Astyanax mexicanus: one gene and its partner. The protein of the gene in region 2 interacts with the protein of the main gene of each other region in a biochemical or structural test. Links are inferred from orthologs where the notes say so. Each region holds a gene or a part of one and is shown on either strand. Other genes may lie near its edges.

The links.
Region 1: the proteins of smurf1 (region 2) and rho-related GTP-binding protein RhoB form a complex in vitro, tested with the Homo sapiens proteins (2 studies listed by BioGRID and IntAct, with this or other methods). The link is inferred for Astyanax mexicanus from reciprocal best matches to the Homo sapiens genes SMURF1 and RHOB.

The regions. Positions count from the first base shown.
Region 1 is NC_064421.1:13,264,900-13,272,406, reverse strand, and holds rho-related GTP-binding protein RhoB, read right to left. Parts: upstream 3,052-7,507; 5' UTR 2,793-3,051; coding exon 2,202-2,792; 3' UTR 321-2,201; downstream 1-320. Other genes in the region: zmp:0000001267 (b(0,+)-type amino acid transporter 1), read right to left, coding at 6,557-6,787, 7,400-7,487. UniProt on the Homo sapiens protein: Mediates apoptosis in neoplastically transformed cells after DNA damage. Not essential for development but affects cell adhesion and growth factor signaling in transformed cells. Plays a negative role in tumorigenesis as deletion causes tumor formation.
Region 2 is NC_064410.1:54,769,725-54,777,326, forward strand, and holds the start of smurf1 (E3 ubiquitin-protein ligase SMURF1), read right to left. Parts: upstream 3,019-7,602; 5' UTR 2,806-3,018; coding exon 2,751-2,805; intron 1-2,750. UniProt on the Homo sapiens protein: E3 ubiquitin-protein ligase that acts as a negative regulator of BMP signaling pathway. Mediates ubiquitination and degradation of SMAD1 and SMAD5, 2 receptor-regulated SMADs specific for the BMP pathway.

The DNA of each region.
Region 1 (7,507 bases), on a different chromosome or scaffold from region 2:
ATATTTAAATTATTATGTATATCGTCAAAAGCCAAGTAATCTTTTTCATAATATATACAACACAACAAAATAAATTTACTTTAAAGAGTAGAAAAGATACTAGTGGAGATGAACAAAGCCTGCTGTTGTGCTGGAGGCAGTAGGACCATGAGGCAGCGGAGCTGAGTGTGAGCAGACCCCACCCGTACTGCCCTTTTCAATCCCTTTCATTATCTACTAGTGTAATACACATGAAACCACAGCTAAACCAGTACCAGAACCAGTGCAATATTGCTTAAAGGCACATATTTGACACTTGTACATAAACACAAGACACATACTTGTATTGCAATTGAATATTTATTTTATTTTTTCTGTTCATTGCTGGGTTACTGTAAACATGACAGCCAACGCCTCAGAGCTGACCCAGGTCAGTCTGAAGTTAATGCAGTGGTACCACAGGCTTAAAGACATATAAAAGTCCTAAAAACAACAAAACAGAAAATGTACAGAGCTTCAGAGCTGAACTTCATAGGCCGCCTCTGTAACAGAGGGTGTGCGTAGTGTGTCACGCTAACCCAGAGCTGAGCCAAAGCAGAAAAGGGCCCACACCCCAACCCAGCCAATCCCAGCCGAGCCCTATACACCCCAAATCAACAAAAGCAGCTCCCATAATCCCATCAGTGCAATCGTGACAAACTTCATTGTTGGTGCTCGAGCAGAGGGGCTGCGTACGAGTTTACCGAGCGCTAGGGTGGGGTAGCAGACTGCACGGGCACCCAGTGCAACAAGAATGGAAACAACAAACGGAGATTCAGACAATGCTGGGCTATTTAAGCATGCAGATTCACCAGCATGGGCCCACACTTTAACATTTCATGGTGTGGGCATGTATGTACGTATGTATGTGTGTTGTAAATGTGTGTGCATACAATGAATCGAGGTGACTTTTGCAACAGCACAATACACAGTCCCGGAACACACTGACTGACCACTTGCACCCATCCCCCACCCCTCCATCCCCCTTCTTAGTGCTGCATCAAGTCTCTCACTGTGCAACAAAAGCACAGCTGCCCTGCTCGCACTGCAGTCTCACCACAGCTGGCAGCTGACTAGAAAGCTAGCATTTTGTACAAGTCTCCTCCTGTTCTTTTTTTTTGAGGGTCATCCCAGTGTACATCCCAAAGACCACCTCAATGCAGTGGCAAGGCATATTCTTTTTCTTCTCATTTCTCTCATTTAAAAAAATCCCCAAAAAACAAAATACAGAGCCCTATGCATGTGTCATATAAACAAGGCAAGGCTGTATACAGTGTTAAGCCTATAAGTTACATTGTTCTGTACTTTGTTCTGTGTGGCAGCAGCAGCAGCAGATATTGTGCCCAAGCTACCCAACCACCCAGACCCACCCATGCATGCATTATCCAGAGCATGCTGTTGTTGTTGTTGGTGGTGGTGGTAGTAGTACTTGCAGTGTGAATAGTATAGTGCCTGTGTCTTTTTCGGCTGCCACACAGCACCAAAACAACAAAGCAAAAGAGAGAAAAAAAGAGAGCAAGATAGAGAGACACACAAACACAGAGAGAGATACAAAGTTGAGGGTTCACAAGCCCCCTACCATCCCCTCTCTCTCTCTCTCTCTCTCTCACTGTTCTGTGTCCATTCTTTTCCTTCTTTCTCTACTTTTTAGTGTTGGTGCAGGGAGGGCATCAAGGGACACTTCAAACCCCTCCCCCCTCATCTCTCCAAACACCCCCCCCACCCAACTTGTCCATGAGTAAAGAACTAGACTCCAGGCTGGGTCAACAAGTCAACTGGGTCCTTTTAGAAAGTTCTGTCCATGGGTTTGTCCATGTTGGCTCCACAAGGCATGGAGTCAGTCAGTGTCACTGATGGGACCAGGAGGAGTTTAAACATGGGAGTCAACATAGGCCCCACCTGGTTTGTACCTTGCACACACACACAAATATAGGGCCTAGATGGAACCCCTAGATGGGAAGCCCAACTAGTCGTTAGAACACAAGTACAAACCCACTCAGAGCCCATGCCCATTTAGAACCGACCTGGAACCCAACTGGAACTCAATTGGAACCCACCTAGACCATGTTCCACCTAAGTGAGCCCCACATTAGCATGTTTCGTTTCTTGTCTGGGGAACCATGTCCTCTTCTCGTAGGAGTTCGTACAGGAGCTCACATGATTTCACAGAAGTTTACATGAGTTCACAAGAGCTTGCAGCAGTTCGCGCAGCCACCAGCCGGCCTGGACCTCTTCTGGAGCGCAGCACGCGTGGCAGTCTCAAACACCTCCCGTACGCCGTCCTTGGTCTTAGCCGAGCACTCCAGGTAGTCGTAGGCACCGATGCGCACGGCCATGGCGCGGCCGTCCTCAGCGCGCACCGGCTCCTGCTTCATGCGCGCCAGCTCGCCGCGCACGCTCTCGTCGTTGCGCAGATCCTTCTTGTTGGCCACCAAGATGATGGGCACGTTGGGACAGAAGTGCTTGACCTCAGGCACCCACTTCTCCGGGATGTTCTCCAGAGAGTCCGGGCTGTCCACGGAGAAGCACATGAGGATCACGTCCGTGTCCGGATAGGAAAGGGGGCGCAGGCGGTCGTAGTCCTCCTGGCCGGCCGTGTCCCACAGCGCCAGCTCCACCTGCTTGCTGTCCACCTCGATGTCAGCCACGTAGTTCTCGAAGACGGTGGGCACGTAGACCTCAGGGAACTCATCCTTGCTGAAGACGATGAGCAGACACGTCTTACCGCACGCCCCGTCCCCCACCACCACCAGCTTCTTACGGATAGCAGCCATGTGCTCGGTGTGTCCTCGCTGCTTTTACGCACGGATTAAAACTCTGAAAATCCTTATTAAAACAGGATCAAATGAAATACACAGTTAGAAAAGTGTCCAGGCTGAGGCTGTGTTGCTTCTTCAGTATCTCCAGCTGAGACTGTGTAGCTTATTCAGGATCTCCAGCTTATAAAGTAGCTCCTCTCACTTCAGACACAGCAGCTCACCACCTCAGCCTCTCACTGTTCAGTTCTCAGGATTTCAGAGCACAGAGTTCCTTATAAAGCGCCTCGCCGCTTTCTTAATATAGCCCTCCAATGGCAGGCCGAGGGATTACCTCATGGTTTTTCTCTCCGGCTCTGATTGGCACCCTCGTGATCAGGGGTGTGACTGTTCTCGCTCACCACGAGGACCTGGGAAACGTTTTTTTTTTTTTTAAATAAATGAAAATACTTTGATTTTTCCCTAATTTTAATTTATATTGACACAAATCGCAGTATAACAAATGGGAAAAAACAAGTATAATCAAAAGTAAAAAAATACTCCTAATAAAGTAAACTATTATTGGTATTTAACAATAAGTCTATGCTGTGCTGATTTAGATGGCCACTTCAAATTAATTTAAAATTAAATTCTGATTATAAAGAAAATATTTATATATGAGTATATTTGTTAGGGTTCCTACATATAAGATATACTTTGAAGGAATTTAGTAACATCACAAATAAACAAAAAAAAACTGCATTTTTCAATTTACCTTTCTGAATATAATTTTTACCCAGAATTATAATACACTAATTTAAATAAATATGTAGCTCCAGATTTACTTACTAAAATAAATCTGTGAAATATTGTGTATAAATGATATACACAAGTACAAATAACATAATAGTTAAACTGGGATTGGAAGTTTACTTCTATCACATTTTATTTTTATACATATTATAATGCCCTTTTAGATCAGTGTAAATAAACATAAATACTTTATTATACATAACATATTCGTTAAACATAATAAGCAGCCAGCTACACAATATTACACATAATATAGCCACCTTTTATTATCATAGACTGTTTTCCACGCGTTTTCCGACAGACCCCGCCCTCCTGCGTTACGATTGGCTACAGGGGTCACATAAATGCGGATGTGGACGGATATGGAAGGCGCCAGCTGTGTTCGTGGGAATGCTGGGATGTGTAGTGTATGTATTAAGATTAAATGTTTTTTGTAGTCTAGTCGTTTTAAACCACAAAGTATCTATATTTAATAAAATAATAAGACTAAAATGTTTTATATGTAAAATAGAGATGTTTCATCCCATACTTTTTCCTGTTATCACACTATGTTTACCAGACTAGCTGTTATATACTAGAACACTACAAATATTACTGGCTTCTGTAAAATGTATTTTAATTTGATTATTTTAGACTAATTTTACACTGTTCTTGTCATAGTAGGGTTACTTTAGCGTAGCCATAAGGGCATTGCCCATTTCCCTTCCGAATGAATCAAAGCCATACAAAAGATATTGTCCTTTATTTTGGAATCTGGAACAACATGTATTTTCTCTGATATTATCCTGTATTTTTCTGCTTTTACAGTCAACCCTGTTGAAAAACCCACTGTAAACTGGTTTCAAATGGTTAGAGGATGGTCAAAAAGCTGTTCATCCAGGTGAAAACATTCCCTATACTGGTAAGTTAAATTTGCAGAGTATACATATAACCTGTGTCTGTAAAACCTATGCTAATGACCTTATTTTACACTTTAGTTTTGTTTTGTTATTAACTCATTAAGGTTACACTAAATTAGTTACAAAGACATTGCCCAGTTGTCTTCTTAAAAAGCTAAAAAACAAACACCACAACAGGTCAGCTTTTCCTCTACTATAAAAGTATTAGCTGTAAGACCACACCATTATTTTTGTTATCCTAAATCACAGATATTTACCCTGAATTGTATTGTATTGCCATGCTTTTATAGGCAAGTTTATGATCTAACCAAAATATATATTGCCTTCAAAGACACCATTGACTAGATCTTAATGTTTTAAAGAGATAAAGAGGGTTTTAATGAGATAATAACAAGCCATATCATGATATATTATTTTATCATATACGTCTTGCCCAAGAATACGGAATAAAAAAGTTAAACCTATATGTTGGAGTGTAATGTTTGTAATGATTTACCTCTGCCTTTTAAATAAATGCCTGTAAGCACACTAATAAGAGTTTTGACCATATGTTCACCCACTGCTAATCCCATATTTACTTACATTAAAATCATTAAGAGCATGAGCATTAAGTGTCTGCCTCCATCCACACTTCTAATTCCAAATGGCCCCTTAGAATGTCATGTAAATCAAATAATCAATAAATGAATCTATTATTCATTGTGTGTTGCATATTTAATGAGACTCAGATAAGAATCAGACCACTACTTAGTCTCAAGAGCAGATGACATGATTTTAAGTACAGCACTGTCTTTAAATGACACTGCAAAATGCTGCTCATAATCATTATTATCTCTGATAGTCATAAACTCTTAGATAACATTACATAACAAAAAAAATTGAGGGCCAAATGTGTGATAATGCAATAATGCAATCTTCCTCTTCTCCCAACACACCAGAATAAAAATGACAAGTTTATTAACAAGTCATTTCAGAGATGCAGGCACGTGTACAGCATGGGTGCCTCCACAACCAGGGCTGAGAAACATTGCTCAATACTAGTTACTGTAGATTTAAATGTATATGAAGGACACACAATAGAACAATGTAGAAGGTCAAAGATATGGAACAGACACCTTTTATATTTGTAAATCTGTGTTTCTTGCTTCTGAGCAACAAGTTATTTTTTATGATTAAATTTTTCAAATTATATCCAATTGTTTTCCATTTTTGGAAGGCCAATTAGCCAGTCTCATCACTAGTGCTGCCCCATTACCAGTGAGTCCCAAACACCAGGACATGGAAATTGAAGCAACCCAGCTCCGATACGTCAGCTACATCAGACACCTGTGCTAGCCAGCACCCCGCTGGACAATGATATGGGGACAGAGCACCATCTCCCCACCCAGAAAAAGCAGGGCCAGTTGTGCTCTTTGTCTCGGACTCCGGCTGCTGATGGCAAGCACCAGTTTTTTAGTATTTAGATGTTTAATATGTTTACATCCCAGCCATTCTTGATTTTAAGTGCTGGATAATGAGCACCATTGTTATTTTTAATATGTTTAAGTGAAAATGTGATTATTTAAAATGTGATTATTTAAGGAGACACACAAATGCAGACATCAAAAAACAGTTCAAATTTTATCAATAGAAAACAGAAAACATTGTGTAATCTGACATGTGTAGTTTCACTAGTGCCACAATGTTTCTACTGCTACAGTCGGTCAACAGTGCTACTCAACTAAATGACCCCAAAATGTTTCTAGATCAAGGTTCATTGCTATGAACTCAACTTCAATATATCTCCACCTTCTTGCAAAAACACTATATTTCCTAAATGGCAACTAAATGGTAGTTAAAGGACAAAACCTTCTTGAAATAAAAGTCAATGGAAAAAGATTTTATTCCAAGTTATTCCAAATTTTGGAGCATTTCAATTGGATTGCATTCATTATACAATTTTAATACAACATAAAGAACTACGTTCAGATTCATATTATGTAAACAAAATTAAAAACAGCAAAAATGGAGCTTTTTTTAACTGCTACAGTGTTCAGTGTTACTACAAAGTTGGGACAAGAAATGTCTCCCAAACCAGAAGGTCCTGGAACCTCACAGGTTTTTATCAGCTGGCGCCACCTCCAGGAAGAGCTGGAGGAAGACTGTGAGTTTGTTCAGGAATCCGGGACACAGTTTGTAGTGAATGAATGGAACATAAATCAGAACTCCGCTGAGGATGAAGAGGGTCACGTACAGGTACTCGATCTGAGGGTTGTCGATGATGGGAGCAAGAACGAGGAACACTGCTGCCAGCAGGACCAGGAAGGGGATAATAATGGGGACCTGAGATAGTTGTAAAAAGAGGCAGTTGGCTATTGCTTCTCTATTATCTGTTATTTGTTATAATATGTAATGTAATTATAGAGCGAAACAACTTTTATTACATCTTTGAGACCATATCTTTAAATCCATTTATATCTTCTCACTTTTTTGAGTATACAAGTGTAAAATACAAGTGTAAATTCACCCAAGATGTATTTATATATTATGCTGGATAATTATGTTGGAAAACTGGCAAACTTGTAAGACCTGATCTGATAACTTAAAGATATTGTGTTTTTTAATGTAAAAACTTACATTAAAAATAAAATAAAATCTGTACTTATATCTTGTAATGCAAGATGTTATTAAATAAAATCTGTACTTTTGTGTTTAATTTGAGAACTTATAAAATAAAATCTGTACTTGTATTTTCACTATTATAATTTGTAAACTAACATTTGTGTAGTTACATAGTGTACATAAAATCACAGTTTAAAATGCATGGAAATGCACCTGACTGCTAAGTGCAAAAAAGTGTGGTTAAAAATCTTTAAAAAACAGTCCAGATACTATTCACATGAAGTGACCCGGTCTAAACAGGCTTTTTGCTATATTTAAAATGATATCTCTTACCGTGTATGAACGAGGAAGATCACGTTTCTTGATTTTTAGGTAAAGAAGTCCTGATAATGTGACGCCATAGAAGAACCAGGCTGTGAAACTGGCGGAAAGATAAAGTGG
Region 2 (7,602 bases):
CTTAATTTATCTAACATTTGTTTCGTCAATTTAAAATTACGTTTAACTGGATATTTGGGCTTTGTTGAGTGTCTATAACTTCATGTGACTAACAGAAAGCTTCCAATGAAATTGAATGTTCAGGTTTACCCTACAGTGATTTAGTAAGATTCACTGCTATGCTCTCATACAGCAGAACTCCCATTCATGACTAAATTCTATGAAATGATGTAAGCAAAGACAGTACAGCTCAGACTTAGACTTGAGAAAAGTGTTATAAGCGGTCTAGAGAACAGCAGTCACAGCTTCCACTGTTCTTAATCTGGCTAAACCCCAAGAGATATCCTGATCTTTAGGGTTTATGACATTTTAGACCCTGATTACTTGATAAACGTAATGTTCAATTGGACACTGGAGTACATTGCTTTGTTGAGTGTCTGTAACTTTTAGCAACATAAACAGAAATTTTTTCATCATGAAATTTTATGTTTGGTTTAAACCTACTGGGCTATATAGGGCTAAACTCTCCTAAAATGTAGCTAATCCTATCACAACTAAAAAGTCAGTACAGCTCTAATGTGGCCCTAAAGAAAAGTGTTTTAGGCAATCTGGTAAAAGAACAGCAGCCTCACAGCTTGCACTTTTCTTAAAGTGGTGAAACCCTAGATAGCACTTTGTTATCCCCATCAAAACAAAAGGGAAAGAGAAATAAGGGGTTTTCCACTAGATCCATTACTTAAACATAATGCACGACTGGATTATAAAAAAGTCAGCATTGTCGAGTGTAACTTTCAGTTAGTCTTTTAACTGTAATCAAAGCTCATAAATGTGGCTGCATACTCAAAAGCAACCACAGACAGAGTCAGTAAAACCATTCCATCTTCACTAGATCAGTACAGATCAGTTTCCCAGAAAAGAATAAAGCAAAAGCCTACAATATTTTTTTCCTGTCAATGAAAAATCTCTATTTAAATGCTGTGCAGTCCAAGACTAGGCTTAATGCCTGTTTGGTAAACTGCCCCCGAAAATCTTCAAATTACTTTGTTTGTGTTCAATCTAACGCTCAAATTCTCAAAACATAAATGCCAAATTCTTGGAAAGATGGGAGCAAAGACAGTATGACTCTCTTGTGGCCTTGACAATAGTGCTATAAACAACCCAGAGAAGAGGAGACACCATTTCCACTGTTCTTAATCTGGCTAAACCCTAGACATCAGGCTCCTTAATGATTCTGACTTTTTTTTTTAAGTTGACTTCCTGGAGACACACTGCTTTACTGAGTGTCTGTAACTTTCAGCAACCTTAGTACAAACATGATAATGTCATTTTTAGGGGTGGAAGAAAACACTGGATCACAATACTTCTAGAATAGCCCTGGACAAATGTTGCATCATGTCTCTGCTAGAATTTTAATGTATTTAACATTTTTAGACCTTCCTAAAGCAAAAGGTAGAGGAATAAAGGATGTGCCTCTATATACATCACTTAAACAGGACTTAAACGGAGCACTTTGTTTTGCTGAATATTTGTAACTTTCAGCAACTTAAAAAAAAAAAAGCTGATAACAAAATGTTGGATGTTGCAGATCTTTTCTTTGTGCTTTCTTGAGTGAGGACCTAGAGCTTAGAGCAACTTTAATACAAAGCTCTTGCTTACTTGCAGAGTGCAATTTTACACTCACGTTTAAACCAACAGTAATATCACTATCTAGAAGCTGCTCTGCAAGCTGCTAAATTGCATGACTATTATCCATAACCAAGCTGAATAACTATAACTAACGGTTTTTAGTTAAACTAGAGAGAGAAATATAAATTAGAGACAAATACGTTTCTGAATCAGTTTGTCTGATTTTGCTATTTATATGTTTGAGTAAAATGAACATTGTTGTTTTACTCTTTAAACGACAGACAACATTTCTCCCAAATTCCAAATAAAAATATAATCATTTAGAGCATTTATTGGCAGAAACGCAAAGTAAACAAGTTATATATATTCATATTCATAAAGGTTTAGAAGCTCAGAAATTAATATTTGGTGGAATAACCCTGTTTTTTAGTCACAGTTTTCATGCCTCTTAGCATGTTCTCCTCCACCAGTCTTACACACTGCTTTTATCCACAAACCAAGCTGAATAACTGAAACAGCTAAGTTAACCTTGTTTAAAACTTAACACTCGACTAATATAGTTAACAAACTAACTACTTAAATCGGTGAGAAATCGCCGTAAGTACCAGGCAGCCAAACTCAGCTCATCTCAGCGGCTAGCTGATAAAAGAGCGACCGTTTTTCCAGACTGGGAGCAGCGAATTCAACCCTACTATACTGTTTAAGAGTTTAACGCGCTAAACAAATTAACTTACACATTATAAACCACATGATATAAATTAATATTAATCATATTATCGAATTAAATCACTCAGTAAGCCTGCAGACCGACCCCAACCATCTGATCTCCTTACCAACAGCCAGTTAACGTTAGCGAACCTAGCTAAGCTAACCGTAGCTATGCTAAGCTAGTTAGCTAACCTAACCTAACGCTCGCTCCCCGTCCGTCTGAAGCCGGGCTCAGCCTGCCCGCTAGCCCGCATTAGCCGCTATGTTAGCCGCTAGCCGGATATGTTAGGGATTCAGTTAGAGAGCCATTTAGGTTACTCAGCAGCCCACGAAGCACGACACGACCAACTGTAGCCTTTTTATACACAAACTGCCGTCAAATAAACCCCGTAGAGCCGAACCCCGCACACCCGCAGCTCCCCGCCGAAGCGCTTTACCTGTCAGTCTGATCTTAATGCTTGACCCGTTCCTCCGAGTCCCCGGGTTCGACATCCCTCCTCGAAAATATCGCCCAAACTTCCTCCAGCAGAGTCCCCAGGCGCTCACCCGAAGCCCAGCCCGCGGTTAAAGCCGCTCAATCCAGGAGTGCGGCGTTTGTTCGGGCGTTTCTCGGCGGAAAATTGATATTATTTCCGTCTAACGATTCCTCCCGTCGCCTCCAGATTTAACTACATACGCTAACATTTTCGAGCTCAACGGCGTCCTGACGTCACTCCACTACGGCGAGTACGTGCTCGCCCACAGGAAGCGCGTGGCCGCGCCGCTTCGGCTTTTCAGAGTAGGTAACTACAGTAGGGGAGCGTGCGTGTTTCTTACAATATTTTTTCTGATATACAGTTTTTCACCAAGAGTGGCAAAACGTTATCCAAAAGCAGTGTGTAAGACTGGTGGAGGAGAACATGCCAAGATTCATGAAAACTATTCCACCAAATATTGATTTCTGAGCTCTTAAAACTTTACGAACATGAATATGATTTTTTTCTTTGCATTATTTAAAGTCTGAAAGTTCTGCCTCTTTTTTTTGCTATTTCAGCCATTTTTCAGTTTGTGCAAATATATGCACTAAATTACAGTATTTTTTATTTGGAAATGTTGTCAGTAGTGTATAGAATAAAACAACAATGTTCATTTTACTCAAAGATATATCTATAAATAGCAAAATTAGAGAAATTGATTCAGAAACTGAAGTGGTTGTTCCAGAGCTGTATAATGGAAATTTCATACTCACAAAATTAAACGGTCTCTCTCACCAAACAAATAGTTTTTTTTTTTAAGAAAAAAAAAAATCACATTATCAGAATCTTATATCTTGACTGGTAACAATTGATTTAAAATAACGTGACAATGTGGTAGGTAAACAGGCCATGCTGTGATGGACTGGCACCCTGTACAGGGATGTCCCTGCTGCACTGTGCCCAATCAGTCCAGGTAAGCTGGATAATATAATTCCATTACAAATCCTTTAAGGTGCCCTGTTTTTCTGCCAGGCTTTTGTTTTTGTGATTTAATTTACACTCCTTTCCATAGGGAAAATAAATACATTGTACCTTCTTAACTCGATTAAGGATTACAGTTTGTACCTTAAGGACATTGTTGTACCTCTGAAAGAACATTTACATATATAGTTTGTACCTTGGCTTGAACGGCCCTGTTTTCTGCTTGCCTACACCTGCCATTAGTAAATGTAATGGGATGATATAATGTTAATCTGTGTTCAGATCAAAGAGGAAAATATCAGAGACCTTTAGATTCAATCAGTTTTTAACAACTAAATTCAAGATAATGAATGTACGCTTAGAGAAATGAGCTGAAGGGAAGGGAATTACTGAATGATCTGGAAGCACAAGAGCTCTGTAATGCTGTTCCCAAGAAGCAAATTCACAGACGTTGTTGGGTCAGCTGAGGACACTCACACTGCCTCAGACACCTCAGACACAAGCCACCAAATGTAGTGAGGATTTTACTACGGAGCACAGTTCCTACAGAGTCAGGATTCCTGCTTTTGTTTATAAAATGTACCTGAAATAATAAAAAAATAATCATTTTAAAGGACCATTAAGGATGATATTTTCTGTAGTAATGCATGTAGTAACTCATATGATTAGAATGATCAGTACCATCTTTTATTAAGGAAACATGTTAAGTTTATGTATTGTTAGGAAAGCCACCGTACCTGCCCACCACCACCCCCCGTCCCATTTCCACACACTGGGTTGTCAGCTATAGAACACAATAGCAGGCAAACTGTGGACTGCAGGCTTGTAAATGGGTGTTCTGTGTGCCGGGCTATTTTTCTCTCCTAAACAGGTAATCACTGAGCTTCTGTAAGGTTCGCTAACCATAGCTGGATAATTTTTCATCACTACTAGCATAGTGGGAACGGGCATTTTTAATCATTTTCACATTCAAGGGTTATGAAGGCAGGGATTATTTGAGATAGCTAGCTAAATTAATCTGGACTATTTGTTGTGCAATTTACATGCTTCTTATTATTCCATTTTCTTAGCACTAAATCTGTTCATTTAGAAGAAATAGGGTGCAAAAATACATGAATATCTACAGTATTTTTGCACAATAGATACACAGTTCAGTTCATTTCAGTGCTGCACAAATAGACCTGCACTTGTCTATTTTTATTTTTTTCATCCCTCCTTATTCTAATTCTGCTGCTATTCATTTTTCCCACACAAGCCATATGGTTGTAGTGTCCCTGCAGCCACCAAACCTCTTGAACTCCAACAAAGCAGGTAACCAAGCTCTAATCCACAGCCATAGTGACCCAAACTAACCTGCACTCATCTGTTTGTCCTTTTCTCATCCTCAATCCATTTTAGCTGCATAATCATCCTGTGTTTTCTTTATAAAATGAGTATTTCTAGTCTTTTTAAAGAAAAACTGCAAAATAATTAGTCATATATTGTACAATACATTGGAAATTTAAGTATTGTGACAAGCCTAGAGCACAATTACTGTACTATTGTACCACCAAACACTGAAACACCCTGTTGCTGTTCTGTAGAGTGGCACTGAATGTTAGATCAGTATTAAACATGGGCTCTTCTGGGTGCTTAACTCATCTTATCGTACAGTTTTGGCTGGGATGGAAATGTCTTGGCAGTGCGACTGTACACAGGGAAACACTCAGTGCCATGTTACTACACACTAAGTCTGCAGTGTGTGTGTGTTTGTGTGTGTGTGCTAAATGCTTAAACATTCACAGGAACCGGATTAGTGGGCCGCGGAACGCCAGTTCATCTGTAAGCTTTTAGGAACTTCTGTGATCGTAAGATTTGGATTAACAGATTGATTGCGACATTTAACCACTCAATGAAACTAAACAGGCGAACAGAAGCAGCAGTCATGGCCTGAGTCTGGGCTTATCAGTTTGCTTGGAGTTCACAGTGACTTGAGTTTGGTGTGTAAATGATGAACACATAAGTAGTTTGGTCTTATTTCCCATCAGCATAGAGTCAGTAACACTCAACACCTGAGCCATGAATAGGTAAGAGGTAGGGGGGTCAAGAAGTAAGCCCACCATGGGAATAAAAAGTGATATTTTTCATAGATTTTCCCTAATGTTCCATGCAAATGACTCATTAAGTATAAATTCAATTTTATTGAACAAACCTCCCAAGATAAGTGTATTTCTTTTTTTAAAATAAAAAAACTCAAAATGCACTGTTCCACATTATGAAACAGGCCACAGGTTTCAAGCAATATGGAAAAGAAAAAAGATCTCACTGCTGCTGAAAAGCGGTAAAAAGTGAGGTGCCTCGGACAAGGTATGAGGCCATTAGATATTTCATAAAAACTGAAGCATGATCACCGTACTTTGAAGAGATTTGTGGCTGATTTAGAGCACAGACAGCTAAAATGAGGAAGATTTCTGCCAGACAAATTAATCGGATTAAGAGAGCAGCTGCTAAAATGCAATTACAAACCAGCAAACAGCTATTTGAAGCTGCTGGTGCAGCTGGAGTCTCGTGAACCTCAAGGTGTAGGATCCTCCAGAGGCATGCAGTTGTGCATAAACCTACGATTCGGCCACCCCTAAGCAGAGCTCACAAGCAGGTGCAGTGGTTGCAGTGGGCCTGGACATACTAGAAGATTAATTTTCACAGATGAATGCCATGCAACCCTGGATGGTTCAGATGGATGGAGTCCTATTATCATTGGGAGGTTTGTTCAATAAAATTGGATTTATACTTAAGGAGTCATGACTTGAAAAAACACTGACCGTCGTTTGCATTTACCATTTAGGAAAATCTAAGAAAATCATCAGTTGCATAATAATTTGGAACTTGGTGTTTATGAAGAAATTATATCAGCGATTATATACTGATATTACATGACTTAAATACTATCCATCCACTATATCCAACACAAGGGTCAAATAAAGCAATTATACAAGCTGTGGTACTTGTAGCAGTAACATGTCCTAAGTACACTACTTAAATACTGAATATATAGATCAGAACAATCAAGTGTGATAATTTTATACTTGAATCAATACTTTTATATTGATAAAAACAATCAAATGTGCTGAATCAGTTTCTCTGATTTAGCTATTTATAGGTTTATGTTTGAGTAAAATGAACATTGTTGTTTTGTTCTAGAAACTACGGACAACATTTCTCCCAAATTCCAAATAAAACTATTATCATTTAGAGCATTTATTTGCAGAAAATGAGAAATGAGAAACAGCTGAAATAACAAAGAAAGATGCAGAGCTTTCAGACCTCAAATAATGCAAAGAAAACAAGTTCATATTGATAAAGTTTTAGGAGTTCAGAAATCAATATTTGGTGGAATAACTCTGGATTTAATTAACAGTTTTCATGTATCTCAGCATTTTCTCCTCCACCAGTCTTACACACTGCTTTTGAATAACTTTATGCCACTTCTGGTGCAAAAATTCAAGCAGTTCAGCTTGGTTTTGATGGCTTGTGGTCATCCATCTTTATCTTGATTATATTCTAGAGGTTTTCATTTTTGTAAAATCAAAGAAACTCATCATTTTAAGTGGTCTCTAATTTTTTTCCAGAGCTGTATAATGTGTATGTCTTAATATTTAGGACGATGTGACATTTAACATTTGTGTGTGTTTTAGCTACCAAAGGTTGAGCACGCTCATGTAAAACAATAAACTGTGGGGTTTTTGAGTTAGCAAATGTCAGTCAGATATAGTGGTTGTTTTATAGGTGTTTTTCTGTGCTACGGGTGGTGGCTGTCCAAATTGGTTTGTGGTTACTGTGGAGAGGCACTTACAGCAGTAAAATATGAGCTGGG